Linked DNA regions of Alligator mississippiensis. The protein of the gene in region 1 purifies or fractionates together with the protein of each later gene. This does not show direct contact. Links are inferred from orthologs where the notes say so. Each region holds a gene or a part of one and is shown on either strand. Other genes may lie near its edges.

Region 1 (7,624 bases):
CAGTTTTGTATCTGTAGCTGTTGCTTTTCCAACTTTCCCATTTATAGGTGACATGCGTGGTTTTATATCCATGTTTGTGTCTGGTAGGTAAAGGTGGCCTACAAACTTTAAGGGTTTTAAGATTAATTTGTCCCCTCCCCTTGTAATGGGAGCTTTAATTCCCACCCCTCCCTCCCCCCAATTTTACCTAAACTTCAAAAGCAGCCTCTTTCGAACCTTGCAGAACTTTTGTACCATTTAAAGCAGCTCTGTCTCTTAGTACCAGACAGACACCTGAGGTGTACATATCTCAGAGGTAATTTTTAACTCCCATGCCTAAAGTTTGGGTGTCCATGGTGTGTGTTTGTTTTATTCCATCTGATAATACTTCTCTAGGTACTCATGTAGTCCTCATACCTACAATATCTGGACTTAAATCTCCTGATTTTTTCTGTGGGAAGCAAGTTATGTTAGTATTATTATTGCATTGTTTACTCAACTTTGCAGACCATGCAATAATTTAGTAACTGGTGAATGTATGTACCCTGACTTTAGGACAGAACTGCTGAAGTGCCAAGGTAATTAGGGTGTCTTAAATATCTACAAAAGGATGGGTCAGTCAGTCTGCATTACAAATACATTTTGAGTTACAGCTTCATTTTGAATTTTCTTTTTAAAAGTAAAATATTTGACCTCTCCAAAGCATTTCTCTAGCACTTCTAATCCTTGCAGCATCCTGGGAGGTAGGTAAGGATTGTATTCTCCATTCTACAAACAGGGAAAACGAGACTGAATGGGCAAGTGACTCACCCAAGGCTCTGCATGAAGTTTGTGGCAGAGCAGAGGTTACAATTGCAAAGTTCCTGGTTTCCAGAAGTGGCTTCAACCTTTACATTGTTGTCTCTTACCATAATCTTACTGTTCTCTGATTTTATAGTTTGTACTTTGTATGGCTTCATTAGAATTTTGTGGAGTTGTGGCTGCATAGTGGGATCTATCGATCTGGAATATCTTCTGCTAGGGCGAGAAAAAAGTATTTAACTATTGACAGCTGGCTCACATTGTCATGGCACAAGGAATAGAATGCTTTCTATTTGAGTCATGAACAACTGCAAGACAATTTTTTAAAGTAATGGAAACTGGCAGTGCTGTAATCACGGCAGCACATTTTTTATTTTCTCCTGAACTATCAACAGTCTTTTTGCATAAATAATATATAACAAGAAATGCAATAAGGGTATATGGTAGCTGCACTATGGGGTTGAAGGGTTACTTGAAATCAGAATAAATCGTAGAAGTCTACCTGTGAGTGAAGCAATAACCTTTTGCCAAATGGCTCAGAAGAGTAAGTCCAAGTGCATTTGACTGGTTCAGTGGCTGTGAAAATTAATGTACACATACCTGCTTTCCTACCTGTTCATATCCCTAAAAAAACTGTTTTTTTTTAATTTCTATTACATGTGGGAAAGGTAGGATTTACTAAAATAATCTGTTAATCCTAAATAGGTGCTTCTGAATTAACACCTTCTTTTCCTGACTTTCCACAAATGGTATTGAAGGCTGAGCATGATGTCTAGAAGTCTGACCCCTTGAACTGTGGGCTCAGTCCTAGCAGTTGTCTCTGACTTTCATGCAATCAGGAAGGGCAAACTGAGTTCCATGCTGTGTACTGCATATGAAACTTTAAAGCTTATAATTCTGTATAGGATTCAAGGATCCGGCATTTATAATATATGATTTATAACCATAACTAGTCCTTTCAGGTGCTTATATGGATGGATTCCAAATAACTTCAGAAGAAAGTTGGTTTCATTATCCCTATCTCACAGGTGGGGAAATCAAGGCAGACAGTGAGGAAGTGATTAATTTAAGAGGCCAGCAGAAGAGCCAGAAATAGAATAGAAATACATCAGTTCTTCAGTGGGCTTCTGCCCTCCACCCAATGCTGTTGTCTGTTTATATGCTGAAAAATACTAGGATTATTTGCCCTGGAAGTGACATAATTTAACTCATACTTATCTCAGTAGCTAAAACATTTCATCCATTTCTTTTCATTCATTCTTCTTTTTTGCTTCACTTTTGGTTAATAGTCTATCAGTAGTAGAAGGCCCTGATTTTAAGATTTTTTTTTTTTTTAGATTTGTTTGTGGTAGTGCTTAGGACCTCTCTAACATACTTGCTCAGGTTTCTGCCTATTATCTCTGATAACTTTTATCCTTTTCTCAGCTGCCTTAGTGAAGGATGAGAACTTTTTTGGTATCTATAATATCCCAGAAATTCTCAGTTACTGAGTTCCAACCAACCATCTTTCCCACACACGCTTTAATGTCAGAGGGAGTACCAGGATATTACACAGTGTGCCAGAACAGGAAGACTTAAACTGAGATGTCTTTTTTTATATCATGTGTATAATTTTAGGTCTTTGCCATCTGTTTTACCATGCTGTTTACTTTTTGATGATCCCAGCTACCAGGCTGCCATATTGTCTGTATTGTCCACTTTGCTCTCAGCTTTTTCTGATGTCTCTATATCCCCAAGACCAAACGCAGTGGTAGGGCATACTTCTGAAAAAGCAGGGGTGAATTCCAGGTGGCCTGACTTTGCCTCTGTAGGCACCTCATTCTAGGACAGCAAGGTCTCAAGAAGAGGAAACTCTCTAATGCTAATCAGGTCAGTGGCTTAGGTGCTCCTTTCTTTTTTATTTCACTCCTGCTCATCTTTCTTGGGTCCCTGCTCAGGATTCTCAGGATCCTTGTTGAAGGCATCTAATTCTCTCTGCATTGTATACAGGGTCTGACTAAGGATTCCCCAAGGTGTTAGGCATTATGGGTGCATCCAGACAAGCAGAAATGTGTGCTTCCCTGGGGACACCTTGTGCCACTGCTACTTGTCCCTGGGGAACACCCGTGCCATGTGCACTCTGGCACGTGGCAGGTTACCCTGGGTGGGGTAGGGGAAGCTGAGGCCAGCAACTGTGCTGGCTCTGTATGTGCCAGCTTTACCTGGCCCATATGTGCTGGTCCCATATGTGCCAGTTTTACCTGGGGCCCTGGGGACCTCCAGCACCTGCAGCCATGGTGCTTCTGTGGCAGGGAGCTTGGTCGACAGCTGGAGCATGGGTCCGGCCAGCCAAGCTCCAGTTTTGGATGGCGTGCACTGCCACCACATGCACCATCCCTCTTTTTTTTGGTGGGGGCTTTTTTCACCCCAGGATCTCCCAGGGTCAAAAAACACCTGTGCCACAAAGTAGTAGTTCAAGGAACGCCTGCTTGTGTAGTGTGGCTCCACAGACAGGTCCATGCTCAGCTGGATGTGCCCTGACACCTAAATACCCTGAGGTTTTAGCTCTAAGAGCTTGATCCTATTTAAGAGCTCCATTTTTGCCATCCCTCATCTGTTTACACGAAGCTTTGCTAATGTTAGGGTGGGCAGGTTGCATCCACCTGCATGGAGTTCCTTGCGGGCTCATTGCTTAAATGTATTGTGGTCTCACTCACAGACCCACCATCTAGCTCTGTGCCACACAAACCTGCATCAGTTGAAAATGTCCTCCAACTAGTATTGCTTATGCATATCCACTTTACAGCTGCCAATTGTATGAAGCAGCAGCTTTAAATTATCCTTGGCATTTCTAAGACCATGTATTAGACAGTAGAGACCTCATTCGCTGGTCTGCTGGGTAGTTGCCAAAGATTTCACTGCGTTTGTCTGAAATGCTAGTTAAAGAAACTGAAATGATATTAAATGAATATATTGCCTTTTAACTTTCCTTCACCATAATTTTTCTTGCATCTTGAGTTTTAGTGCTTTGGCTCGCAACCGGGGCACCTACCTGGGCCTTGAAAATAATTCAGGGTTTCTCTGTCAAGCACTGAAATACAGAACCGTGCCAAACAGTGCTTGGCAATTTATTTGCAAGGGAGGGCACTAGGCCAATCTTTCCTCAGCAATCATGCACTGCAGTAGAGGTGGCATCTCCCTTTCTAACGTAATTTACAGCATTAACACACTCAATTCTAGCTGTCGGTGCAGCTTTTAGATTTAACCGTTGCTTGGCCAATTGATCCTTGCCCTTCAACAGTCGTTCCCCCCCAGCCCCCGCAGTAGTCTTCTTCTTTTTGAGCCACCTTCCTCCCAATGTAACACAGGGACATTTCACTCCTTCGGAGGAAACCCTAGAGTTGAAGGCATAGCCGATCAAGTTTGCACTCTGCTTTTCCCTGCAGGAGTCAGACATGCAATGGGATGATGACAGCAAATAGCATCTGTTTATACTGCCCTGGTCCTTGTGGAAGCTGGGCTCTCTCATGGTTTGCACGAGCTGCTCCCGGGGTTGAGGTAGAGGGTCGAGCTTATGCGATGAAAACCCACCCGGGTGAGGACGCCCGCCCTCCATCCCCTTTCTCCATGCTGAGGCGCCCGCTGTTACCAAGCGCGTCTCCGCTGCGGACAGCCTCTGCCTGAAGGACCCCGCTGCTCCTGCACTCCCCCGCCCCCAATGTTTACCTTTCGAAAACCCTCCCCCTCACCCCCTATTTCCTCTCAGAAGTGCAGCTTGCCGCACTTCCCTGCCCCGAGCGCTCAGGCGATCTGCGCGGGCAGCCCCGGAGCTCTGTGAGGCAGCGCTCGTTGGGGTCCTTCCTTCCCGCCCCGCCCCCATAAAAGCCGCCGCTGCAGCCGCAGTCGGGCCTGAGGAGACGCCGCCACCCGGTTGTAGCCGCACGGTGAGGCCCGGCCCGGCCCGGGGAGGGGACGGGGGAGGCCTGGTCTGCTTCCCCGCCGCTGCGGAGCTAGCCCGGGGGGGTTGGGCCTGGTCCCCGCCCGCAGCTCTGCTTAGTCACCCCGGTCCGCGGGCTGCTCCTCTCGCCCGGCCCCGGCGGCCGCGGAAGCGCAGCCCTGGTCTGAAGGGACGGACAGGCTCAGCCCCCGGGTCATTCAAGGGGGGGACCCTGGAGCCCTGTCGAGAGGCCGCGGGGACCCCCCCCCCCCCCCCCGGCTCCTCGTGGCCCGTCGGAGCCGGCCGAGTCGTGGGCTTGAGCGCGAGGGGGAGGGGAGGGGAGCGGGTCCGCGGGCAGGAGCGTCAATCCCGGGCAGGGAAAACCTCGGTCGACGCGCTCCGGCTCCTAACGAGGACTAGTGCATTTGGGGTGAAAACTGCTACGAGCATCTCACTCTCTTTCCCGAGCAAACGCAGGGCTCGCGGCGCCGGTAGGTGGGAAACGCGGGGATGATATAGCCGTGGTGCGTTGGGGATGGGCTGCGGTGTTTTTAAGCCCCACGTCTGTCCGTCTGTCTATCTTTGAAGCAAAACAAAACCTCTATTAGATAATCGAGGTAAAACAACTGGCTTAAATTTCCTTGATCTGGAGTTTAAGTGACCGCCTGCGCAATACAAACAGAGCCTAAACCTATCGCAGTCCAAAAACAAACCAACGGAAAAACCCTCATAAAATTGGGGATGAGCCTCGATTGTAAGTTGTCTTGCCTGTTCGAAGTCTTATTTTACCTAGCGGTTGGGAAGGTAGACTTGTACTTGAGCAAACTCAGCTTCTCACTGCAGGGTTGGACCTCTTGGTGGTAAGAAGTTAACATTTTTAAATTCAATATTTGCCTCTTTTTTTTTCCTGGGGATGACACAGCAATGTGTTGCTACAACATGGGGCCCAACTTTAATGAGTTTGTTAGTCTCTTCTAAGTTTATCTCTCTAAGATGTGGTAATACTTGCATTTGGAGGTAGAGTGTTTTATCAACATGAAGCAGCTCTGCCAAGTAAACTTGAAGAGGTTACTTTCTTCCTTTCAAACATGAAGATCTATGGCTACCGTCTGCTGCTGAGCAACCTGCATTGGCTGGGCTCCATTGGCCTGCGTTTGTTGCAGTGCTGTGATGAGCTACAGCAAGCGCTCGCTGTCAAGCAGATGGAAGTGAGCTGAAAGTCATATAGCTGGTCAGCTGCTCTGACTGCAGTAATTTTGAATCCATGAGGTCCTAGGCCCCTCAAGAGTTTGTGTATTTTTGTTTTGTTTGTTTTATTTTGTGTATGTATTTCAAGCAGGCATCAGTTGAGTAATATCTATGAGTGATCTCTGTTTACCCTAAAAGCCTTTTCCCAAACAATTCTTAAATGGGTTTGCAGACTATTTGAGGATGCGTAGCTTAAGGGTTGCTTTTCAGTTGCCTGCTCAAGGATCTCTAACCTATTTTGACAGTCTTCTGCAAAACAAAACATATAAAGGCCAAAAATGGCTTCATACTGATTTATTTTACTTTATCTTTTTTGCAAGGAAACATATTGGATGAATGCATTACTAAAACAAATCTAACTTGTATAAAAGCCAATTATTTTAGACTAATCCCATTGTGTGCACCCTAATGCGAAGGGCTAAAGAACCGGCAAACAAGATGTATACAACCTTACAACAAACATCTTAGTTGTAACTAATTAAAGCTGATTCTTGCCAAAATAAGCAGTTTGATTTCAAGAACGTTATTTGAAGCAATTCTAGACTTCATGGGCTAGAAGGGACTCTTACGCTAAACTAATCGCATGCATGGTACTCAGAGCCTTATCCAGTAACATCTGCATCATGCTTGTAACTTTTTTTTTTATAGGAGCTTAACCAGTAAGTTATTTAAACATTACTGGTTGCAGCATGGATTTGAGAATGTACTGTCTTTTAAATTTTGTTATAATAGACTCCTTTTACAGGAGCCTTTTCTTACAGGTAAATGCATTAAGAAGCAATTGTGTTGTCAGGTGCTGAAAGTAGGGGTGCACTGATAGAGGTTTTTGGGGCTCATACAGATAGCTAATTTTTGAGGAGGCATATTAGCTGATATGGATCTGATTTCTGATACAGCTGCATCCAGCTGGTAAGACTTATGGTGGAAGGGAAGGAGTGGGGGGCAGACCCAGGTGCCCCAGCCCCACTCCCTCCCTTATCATGGGGCAAGGGCTGCCCAGCTGGGGCAGAACAGAGCTGTGGTTTGTCTGGGGAGTGCAGGGGTCTGTCTGGTGCTCTCCTGGGAGCTCCAGCTGCTTGTCTGGCAGGGCATAGGGGATGGGGGAGTAGGTGTGTGCCTCTGGATCTGCGTGGGGTGAGCGGGGCTGGGGCTGAGCTTGGGGTAGGTGGCTCTGAGAGTGGGGCTATGGGGGGACTACAGTGAATTTCAGGGTGGCTGCAGCCCCCCCATAGCCTCCACTTCCAGTGTTGCCACTGCCACTTGCCCCGATCCAGGGGCACACGCCTCTTCCTCCCCACCCCCCCAAGCGAGTGGCACGGGTGGGAGCCACCCCCCCCCCCCCCCCCCCCCGGATGAGCTGTGGCCGGGCACTGCTTGCCTCAGCCCCACTCTCTCCTTCCCTCTCTGCAGGGGGGCCTTGATCTGTGCACCCCCCTCCCCCCCCCCCCCCCGGTCCCTTTCACCACAACAGACTTACTAGCTGGACACTGCTTTTCAAGCTGCGGGGCTATCCTCGCTGCCTACGTGCTGTGTTGTGACTGCACATGCATGGGCCATTTATCAGCCATATCAGGCCAATTTCTGATGCTGCCAATCTTCTTTATATTGGTGCTTATCTGATATTGGACCGATGGATCAGTGCACTTCTAGCTGAAAGTTCTCTTGAGTATACCATGGGCA
Region 2 (7,598 bases), on another chromosome or scaffold:
TTGCAATTTTAATGACAAGTCTCAGAGTGCTTTGTGGTCTCCCCCATATCCATTCCTACTTTTCTCTCTAAAGTCCCAGCTCCTGGAGTCCTGGCACTAGAAGAATTTGTTTACATTTAAAAATAAGGCTCAGGCTTTCAATGTTAGAAATTGAAACCACAAAGAGCCCTAAAGCTAAAGAACAAGAAAGCAATTAGAAACTAAAACGTATTTAAATCTCATTTTTCAGTCTGCTGGATTCACATTAATGCTACTCTTATGGATGAAATCAATGCCTCAAGTGCTTAAAGATGCAGAAAATAAGAAATAACTCACATTATACTTAAACATATTATTTGTATTAAAATGGTATCTCTAAGAATTAGGAATAAAGCTCTCTTAATAAAATATCCAGAAGCCATTTATAATATGGATTCAATATTTATTCAAAGAATGTGTTAATTATGGAGTCTTCATTCATCAAGTAGGATGGTAAATAAATACTATTTTTCAGCAAGTTTATCCACTTCATTTTATCTGCAGTTTAAAACAAAGCCTAATCCAACAACATTTGTTTATACATTTTAACCATCAACAAGCTCATATTATTGCCAGATATAACATTAGTTTTCATTTTTTTAGTGAAAGTTAGAAAGCATTACAAAATAAAATAAAACCCATGTTCTATAAAGGACCAATATTTCAAAAGAACTTGCTATAGTGATAAGATGTTATTGGATAACAGTACACACAAAGGCTATTTAGAACAATGTAGTTTACAACAAAGTAAAGTTTTATTAACCAAGACAAATGAGCTGTAGCCATTTTTAGTTATGAGCAGATTTAAAATCCTTTAGGACTGAACTGGGCATCTCAAAGCCCAACTACTCACTTATCAAACAACTTATTTTAGAACATGAGAGGTTTCACCCAAGGAAACCACAGGAATTACTGTTCTACTTATGTTGGAAGAAAGCTCACCAGTAACTTATCTTCATTTGCTGATCTATGGCACAACAAAACAGCACAAAATGGTCAAATTGTATTTTCATGGTTCAGTAACACTGGTATCCTGAAAACAGGGCTAAGTCTCAGACTAGCAGAAAAACAAACACAGAAGCCAAAGGTACCTCTGTTACTTATTAAGGCAGGTAAACCATCAATTTCTACTTTACATATCCACTGCAGTGAAAGGTAAACACCTGTTCTACTGTAACCTGATCTTGAAAAAACTGTCTGGGTGGATGTTTAACCCAGGTGGGTACTTCATATTCTGGACCTGTGAAGCCAGTCAAGAAAATATTTCATCATCTTTGTACCAATGACACAGTAGCACGCCCTTTTCTTAAATGAAAACTTGCATTTCTTTAATGATTATTTCCAGTTCATTTCTTATCCTCTGATCTGATTGTTAACCCAAAATACTTTACCTTGATCCTTTCTTGGCCTCAGAACAACGTTATCACATTTGAGCTGAATGCCCTTTTCAAACTTGAGCTCTCCTCCGTTTGCCAATCTTTTATTCCTATTTATAGAACATATGGAGGTGCAAACATTCAAAATATGTTTAAAAAAAAAAAAAAGAAGAAGGTAACAGGAATGCAATGGCTCCTATTGCCGCAAACTGGTTCCAGGTCCATGCTAGCAGTAACTACTGGACACACACAAAAAGGGGAAAGACGATTGTAACATGTTTAATACTATACGTTCAGTACATAAGTTCAGAGCACATCATGTACAAGTACATGCTTGATTACTTGATACTTGGCTATCGGATCCAAGGAGGAAACGAACCCAAGGGAAATGCAGAGATGCCTGCTCTGCAAAGTTTACTGGCTTCAAAAACCCTTCGTATTTGCTTTAGCAACTTTTAGAGTTATGGGGTAGGCCATAAAAAAGAAAAAACAAAGCAACCTAAACCCCACCCCCCAAGAAACAACAAAACCCATGAACCCAGAAAGAGCAGCCAAATACAAACTAACATGCCAGCCAAAACCCCCAACCCTCCCAAAGAACCACGCAAAGTCCTCACAGCCTCCCAAAAACTAAACTCTCTCAGTCTAAACAACTGAATTTGATTCAAATAGAAGTGTTTTGAAGGACAGAGGAGGGGTCTTGAAGAAATTTCTGTGGTCAAAGACCAATGTGGCCCCAAGAAGATTGGGAGAGTCACACTGCTCAGCTGCAGCATTTTTAAGAAGCCACATCTAAGAGAAAGGCTAAAACCCCAGGGTGAAGTCTAATCAGGTTTTGAGAGGGCAGCCCCGCAAGCTCCTGGCGGAGACGGTTGATAGGAGGCACCAAATGGAAGTAGGTGACTTCCTTACTATGGGGAACAGGGGGCTGGAAAGCACCTCAGGAGGTCATCCTGTCCACTCCCCTGCTCCGAGCAGAACCAGCCCAACTAGACCCCCCCGCCCCAGCCAGGGCTTCGCCTGCCACAGCACTGCCGGGCAGAGCAGCTGCCACGGAGCGCGCCAAGGGCCGGGAGCGCTCCCTCAAGGGCATCAGAGACGCGCTTCCAATGACTGCGCTGAAGCCTTCCCTGCCCCGCTGAGCACCCCGAGGCGAGGAGCAGATCCACCGGCGCCCCCACGTCCTGCAGGAGGCTCCCGCCCCGCCCCAGCCAGGGGGAGCCAAGAAAAGAAGCAGCAGGCGGGAGACGTCCGTACCTCACGCCGCTTTTGCAAGGCCGGCGGGCCGGGCTCCCTGCAACTACGAGAGCGGGGCAGGAGCCCGGGGCTGGCGGGGACAAGCGCACTGCACCTGGGAGGCTCCCCCTGGCAGCGGGGCCATCCGAGCCCCCTCCTCCGGGCCTCCGGGCCTTAGCCCCCCCGCAACCCACTGCAACCAGCTACCTTGCAACTGGGAGGGAAGGGGGGCAGCGCAGCCCCCGGATCTGGGCGAAGTTCAAAGCGAAGTTGAGCCACCACTGGGAGGGGGGAAGGGGGAGCGCACGCAAGGAGCTGCAGACTCACCTACCGGTGCGCGGGGCCTCCCCCGGCCGTGCAGCAATGAGCAGCGCCTACTCGCTCCCTGCTCCGCCCGTCCGGGGACTCCTTCCCCCCTCCCCGCCGGGCCCGGCCGCACCTGTGCCGCCCTGTGACGTCACGCACCGAAACACCTTTCCCCCCCCGGCCCGGGGCGGGAGGAGTAGCCCGCGGCCCCACGTGCGGGAGGAGAAGCCGCACGAGGGGAGACGCCAGCCACAGCCCAGCGGCAGACAAAGCCGGGGGCTGCAGATTCCCGCTCGGTGTTGCTGCTCTTCTTGCGTGAGCCTAAGAGCTGCCTTTACACGGGTCCATCTTGCCCCGTCATCTGTGACACCCGGGGGCAGGGTGGAGGCTGATGGGGAGAGGGGACTGGGAATGGGGGGCGTTATTTCCCCCCCACTGGTTCTCTCTCACTTGCAGCATTTATTTTAAGGTCTAGGGCGGCTGCTCCCAATCTGTGGTACCAGTCCCACCAGTGGTAGCACACAACCTGTCAGGAGTACACATTAGCAGATTTATTATAATTACTTGCTATGACAGAAAATGTGTTGATGGTACCCAAGGTCGAACTGAAAAAATTGCTGGTGGCACTGAAGGCTGTATTGCTTTAAATTGGCAGTGCGCCATCTGTCAGAGTTTGGGAATGAGGGACTTTTGGGGATCATTTGGCTAAGATAGAGTGAGAAAGTCCTCACCCATCCTGGGCTCTTCCCAGCCCCCACAATTGCACCCGCATCCTACTATCTGTAACCGAGTGTGCACTCTCTGTAAACCACCTCCAAACCCAAACGTAGCATCGTTGTGCAGGGTCTCCAGCAGGGCCATCACTGCGAGGGGCCAAATCAAGGCAACAACCTGGGCAAGCCCCATGGTTTGCGGGGGGGTCCTACAGATGGTGCCATACAGACCCCGCTACCACCACTGCTGAGCACCATCAGCTCCGGCCACTCGCCACCCCTCCCATGGACAACTGGTGCATCCTGGCCCAGGGGAACTGCTCTGGTCCCAGTATATTTTTGACTCTATAAAAGCATCACTCTCCCCCTACCCCCTGGCCCCTTGGGTTAGTTGACTGCACTTTTTATATGTAATCTAGTTACCTTTCCTTCCCTACCCCCATCCTGTTTTATGTAACCCCTCACTCTGGGTCCTTTGGATTTCTTTTAGCTTTAACTTTGTAACCTTAAACTTCAACATTTTCTAATAAAGTATCTGAAGTCCCAGACTAAAGAGTCTGGGATGGAGAATGCTTGCCTGTAGTTTCTGGGGACATCTGAATCCCAAGACCTCCAGACTTGGGCCTGCACGTAGGATGCCTGTCAATGGATTTGGGAGTATCCGAAGTCCCAGGTTGAGAGGTCTGGGATGGAGGATGCTCACCAGTTGTAGTGCCATACATGGTGTTTAGAATGATTGAGTTCTGCCTGCTCAATCAATATGGTTTTTTGACTGAGTTCTGCTCAATCAATATGATTTGAAACTGATTTGGCTGACTTCACCTGAAACACAATATATATTAATAAAAAAAAAGTAAGGTCTAGGGACTTGTAATTCAGTGGCTGGTGTCCTTGCTCCCATTTTCTTTACAATTAGAGCTGCCAGGCTCTGGAATGGGCTCCCAAGTGAGGTGGTACTCTCTCCTACCTTGGAGATCTTCAAGAGGAGGCTGGACAGGTGGGGTGATATGATCCCGGCACCTGTTTCTGCCCGGGGCAGGGGGTCAGACCTGGTGTTTAGGCCCCTTCTGACCCTAAGTACTATGATACTATGCTTAATAGCTCCTGATGCCCTTTTCCTCCAATAATTGGTTCAATTCCTTTTGCAATTCCAGCATCTGGTGGCAATGAGTTCCACACTCAAATGACTGTGTGAAAAAACTTCCTTCTAGTTTAAACTTACTACCTACTAGTTTCATTTTGTGGCCCCTAGTTCTTGTCTTGTGTAAGGCAGTAAATAATAAATCCCTATTGACTTTCTCTTTGCCATTTAGGATTTTGCAAATCCTTATCATGTCCCCCCACCCTCAAGTGACTTTGGTTCTGTCACTTAAACAATTGCCCCCTGTTTCCACATCTGTGAAAAGGGGTAGTAATGTATTCCCTTCCTAAAGGATTTGAGATGCATTGCTGAAAAGCACAATAAAAGGGCAGAATAATGCTTTAGTGTTGTAAATCAAATGAAAATAAACCCTAAACAAATATTAAGGGGGGGGGGAGGGGAGAGGAAGTAGTTAGAAAGCATAATGAGTCAATGACTGAGATTAATGGGATGAAATTAAGAGAAGAAACACTTACAAAAACTATCAGAAAAAGTGTTCTAAAGTTTGATTCTGCAGAGAAATGGGGCAGACACAGATCTCTACCTATGTTTTGAGACCAGAGCCTTGCTCTGTGAAAGTACCTGCCAAAGGGAGTGGTGGATATTCTGCTATCCAAGACATGTTCAGTATACTGATTTTTTATTGTTTTCCTTGGAACATACATTATCCCCGCTCCCTGCTCCTCCCCCCTCCCAGGGTGCTGTGGAGAGGTTTCTTTGGGAATACTTACCAACAAAATTTAAAAAACCTTAGGATGAATGTTGTTCTCACAGACCTACTGTATCTCCTCAGCCAATCTTGAGGCATGTGCAGGTATGCAAATTAATTAGTAAAGCTCTATATTGAATATGGGAGTTGCCCACAGTACAAGCCTAGCCTTGCAAGCTGGTGATTATGCTGGTAACACAGTCCAAACTTTCACACAGCTGCTGGTTTGTGTTGGTTACAATTACAATGAATAACTATCAAATCAATTTTATCTTATTTTAAAGTAGCTGTACATTAGTGTAGCACATAGAACAGAGAGTCCTAAAACCTGGATTCTATTCCAAATCACCATGGCCAAATTGAATGGTTTGATCGCCTGGGAGTTCAAGATGTTCAGTATTTTACAGCAGAACTGAACATGTTCTTCTAACCTGGGATCCTTGCTCTGTGTTTTTTCCCCCCTTGTTCATTTCCAGAAGTCACATGTTAAGATTTCAGTGTGTTCTGCAAATTAATGATCAAGTATAGACTTGGATTAATTTTATAACCTCTATATTATATCTTGTTGTTTATTAGAAAAACAGGAATAAAAAAAAACAAAAACGCAACATAACTAAATTAATACTGCTAGTGGGATTTTGACTTGTGTTTTATGGCTTTTGTTGATCACCTTTATCTTTAATATGAAGTTAATGAATGCTTTTGCTCTGAATTTCCTAAATTTTTAAGTGGTGAGGATGGGATAGATTTCTTTAAGTGACATAAAAATTAAATCCCTTTTGAGTGCTAACACTGTTATAAACTTCTAAAAAGATTTATTAGACTATAACTGTTTAAACCACCTAAAGTATTTTGCATGACTTAATTTGAGATCTTTGAGTTCAAGGAGGCTGCAGAAAAGCAATGTACAATATGTGCACCACATATCAATAGTCAAGTTTGCAGTGATTTAAATATAGTCAAGTATAGTTAAAATAAATAAACATTAAGAATGGGTAATGACTACCACTAGGAGTTGAACTTAGGACCTGCAATTGAAGTTTGACTTATGACCTGAATTACACTTGTTTGTTCATTTAGGAATTTTTATAATGCCTACTCCTTTAATCCTACTAAGACCTTAACCTCTACAGTATCTGGTGAAGTTGTACACTTACAAGTAAGACCTGTCCAGTTTGCGTAATTACAGGTAAATAATTAGCATGATGACTTGATCCCAATCTTATGAAATGAGCTCCTTCTTTTTAATAAAAATGATCCCGAGTCTGTGGTTTCAACACATTTGGCTACAACATTATTTACTCTACCCTAGTGTAAAAGCTAGTTGTCTGGCTTCTTGGAGTTAGTCATCTCAATGAAGAATGGGTATTGTAGGGGTTTAAAAGTCTGATGTTCCCATCACAGAATGTCTCTAAAACCCTTTTGGAGTGGTGGGGACATAGGATATGCCCCATTTTGGCTCATGTCTAATCCCTAAAATGATAGGAGTCTACAGAGTCAAGGCAACTTCAGATTGCATTCACTTCTGTTCATTCCCTTGAATTTTCTGTGCATGCAAGTTAATGAGAGAAATGCACACATTAGACCTTCTCAGTGAATCTCTAAACAAGTGTGAATCCAGGGCAAGGATTATGGTACCTTAGAGTCAGCTGGATATTACTCATTAATGGGATAATTTAGGGGGAAATAGTTACTCATCAAGCCTAGACAGATACGCATTTGAAGCACTCTAAATCTCAGAGTCTTTAAATTCATCACACTTGAAGTGTTGTACAAATGTGTGGTGCCAACCACACCTCCTGCAGCATTTTTAAGTGGCTGGGAAGGCATGCATGACCTGGCTTCTGATTGCTAGAAATTCACAAGAGAGTTTTCTTTGGCAGTCCATCACACTGTCCTTCATGGAAAGGGGGGGGGGGGGGGGAGGGGTAAGTGAAGCACTGTGGGATACGTGAGAACTGTTGGAAAGTGCAGATATTTCAGAAGATTCTTCAAAATGAAGTGCTTTACTTCAAAAATGTTCCTCTTTGCAGGGGTGTACTTGGTAGCTGTGTTGGTCTGAGACAAAAAGACATACAAAAAACTAGAACTCTTGGTTC

The links.
Region 2: the proteins of SKP1 (region 1) and MTUS1 purify together in Homo sapiens (affinity purification with mass spectrometry; 3 studies listed by BioGRID and IntAct, with this or other methods). This does not show direct contact. The link is inferred for Alligator mississippiensis from reciprocal best matches to the Homo sapiens genes SKP1 and MTUS1.

What each region holds. Positions count from the first base shown.
Region 1 is NC_081832.1:70,029,999-70,037,622, reverse strand, and holds the start of SKP1 (S-phase kinase-associated protein 1), read left to right. Parts: upstream 1-4,595; 5' UTR 4,596-4,703; intron 4,704-7,624. UniProt on the Homo sapiens protein: Essential component of the SCF (SKP1-CUL1-F-box protein) ubiquitin ligase complex, which mediates the ubiquitination of proteins involved in cell cycle progression, signal transduction and transcription.
Region 2 is NC_081825.1:66,037,722-66,045,319, forward strand, and holds the start of MTUS1 (microtubule-associated tumor suppressor 1), read right to left. Parts: upstream 3,056-7,598; 5' UTR 2,958-3,055; intron 2,919-2,957; exon of another isoform or gene 2,838-2,918; intron 1-2,837. UniProt on the Homo sapiens protein: Cooperates with AGTR2 to inhibit ERK2 activation and cell proliferation. May be required for AGTR2 cell surface expression. Together with PTPN6, induces UBE2V2 expression upon angiotensin-II stimulation.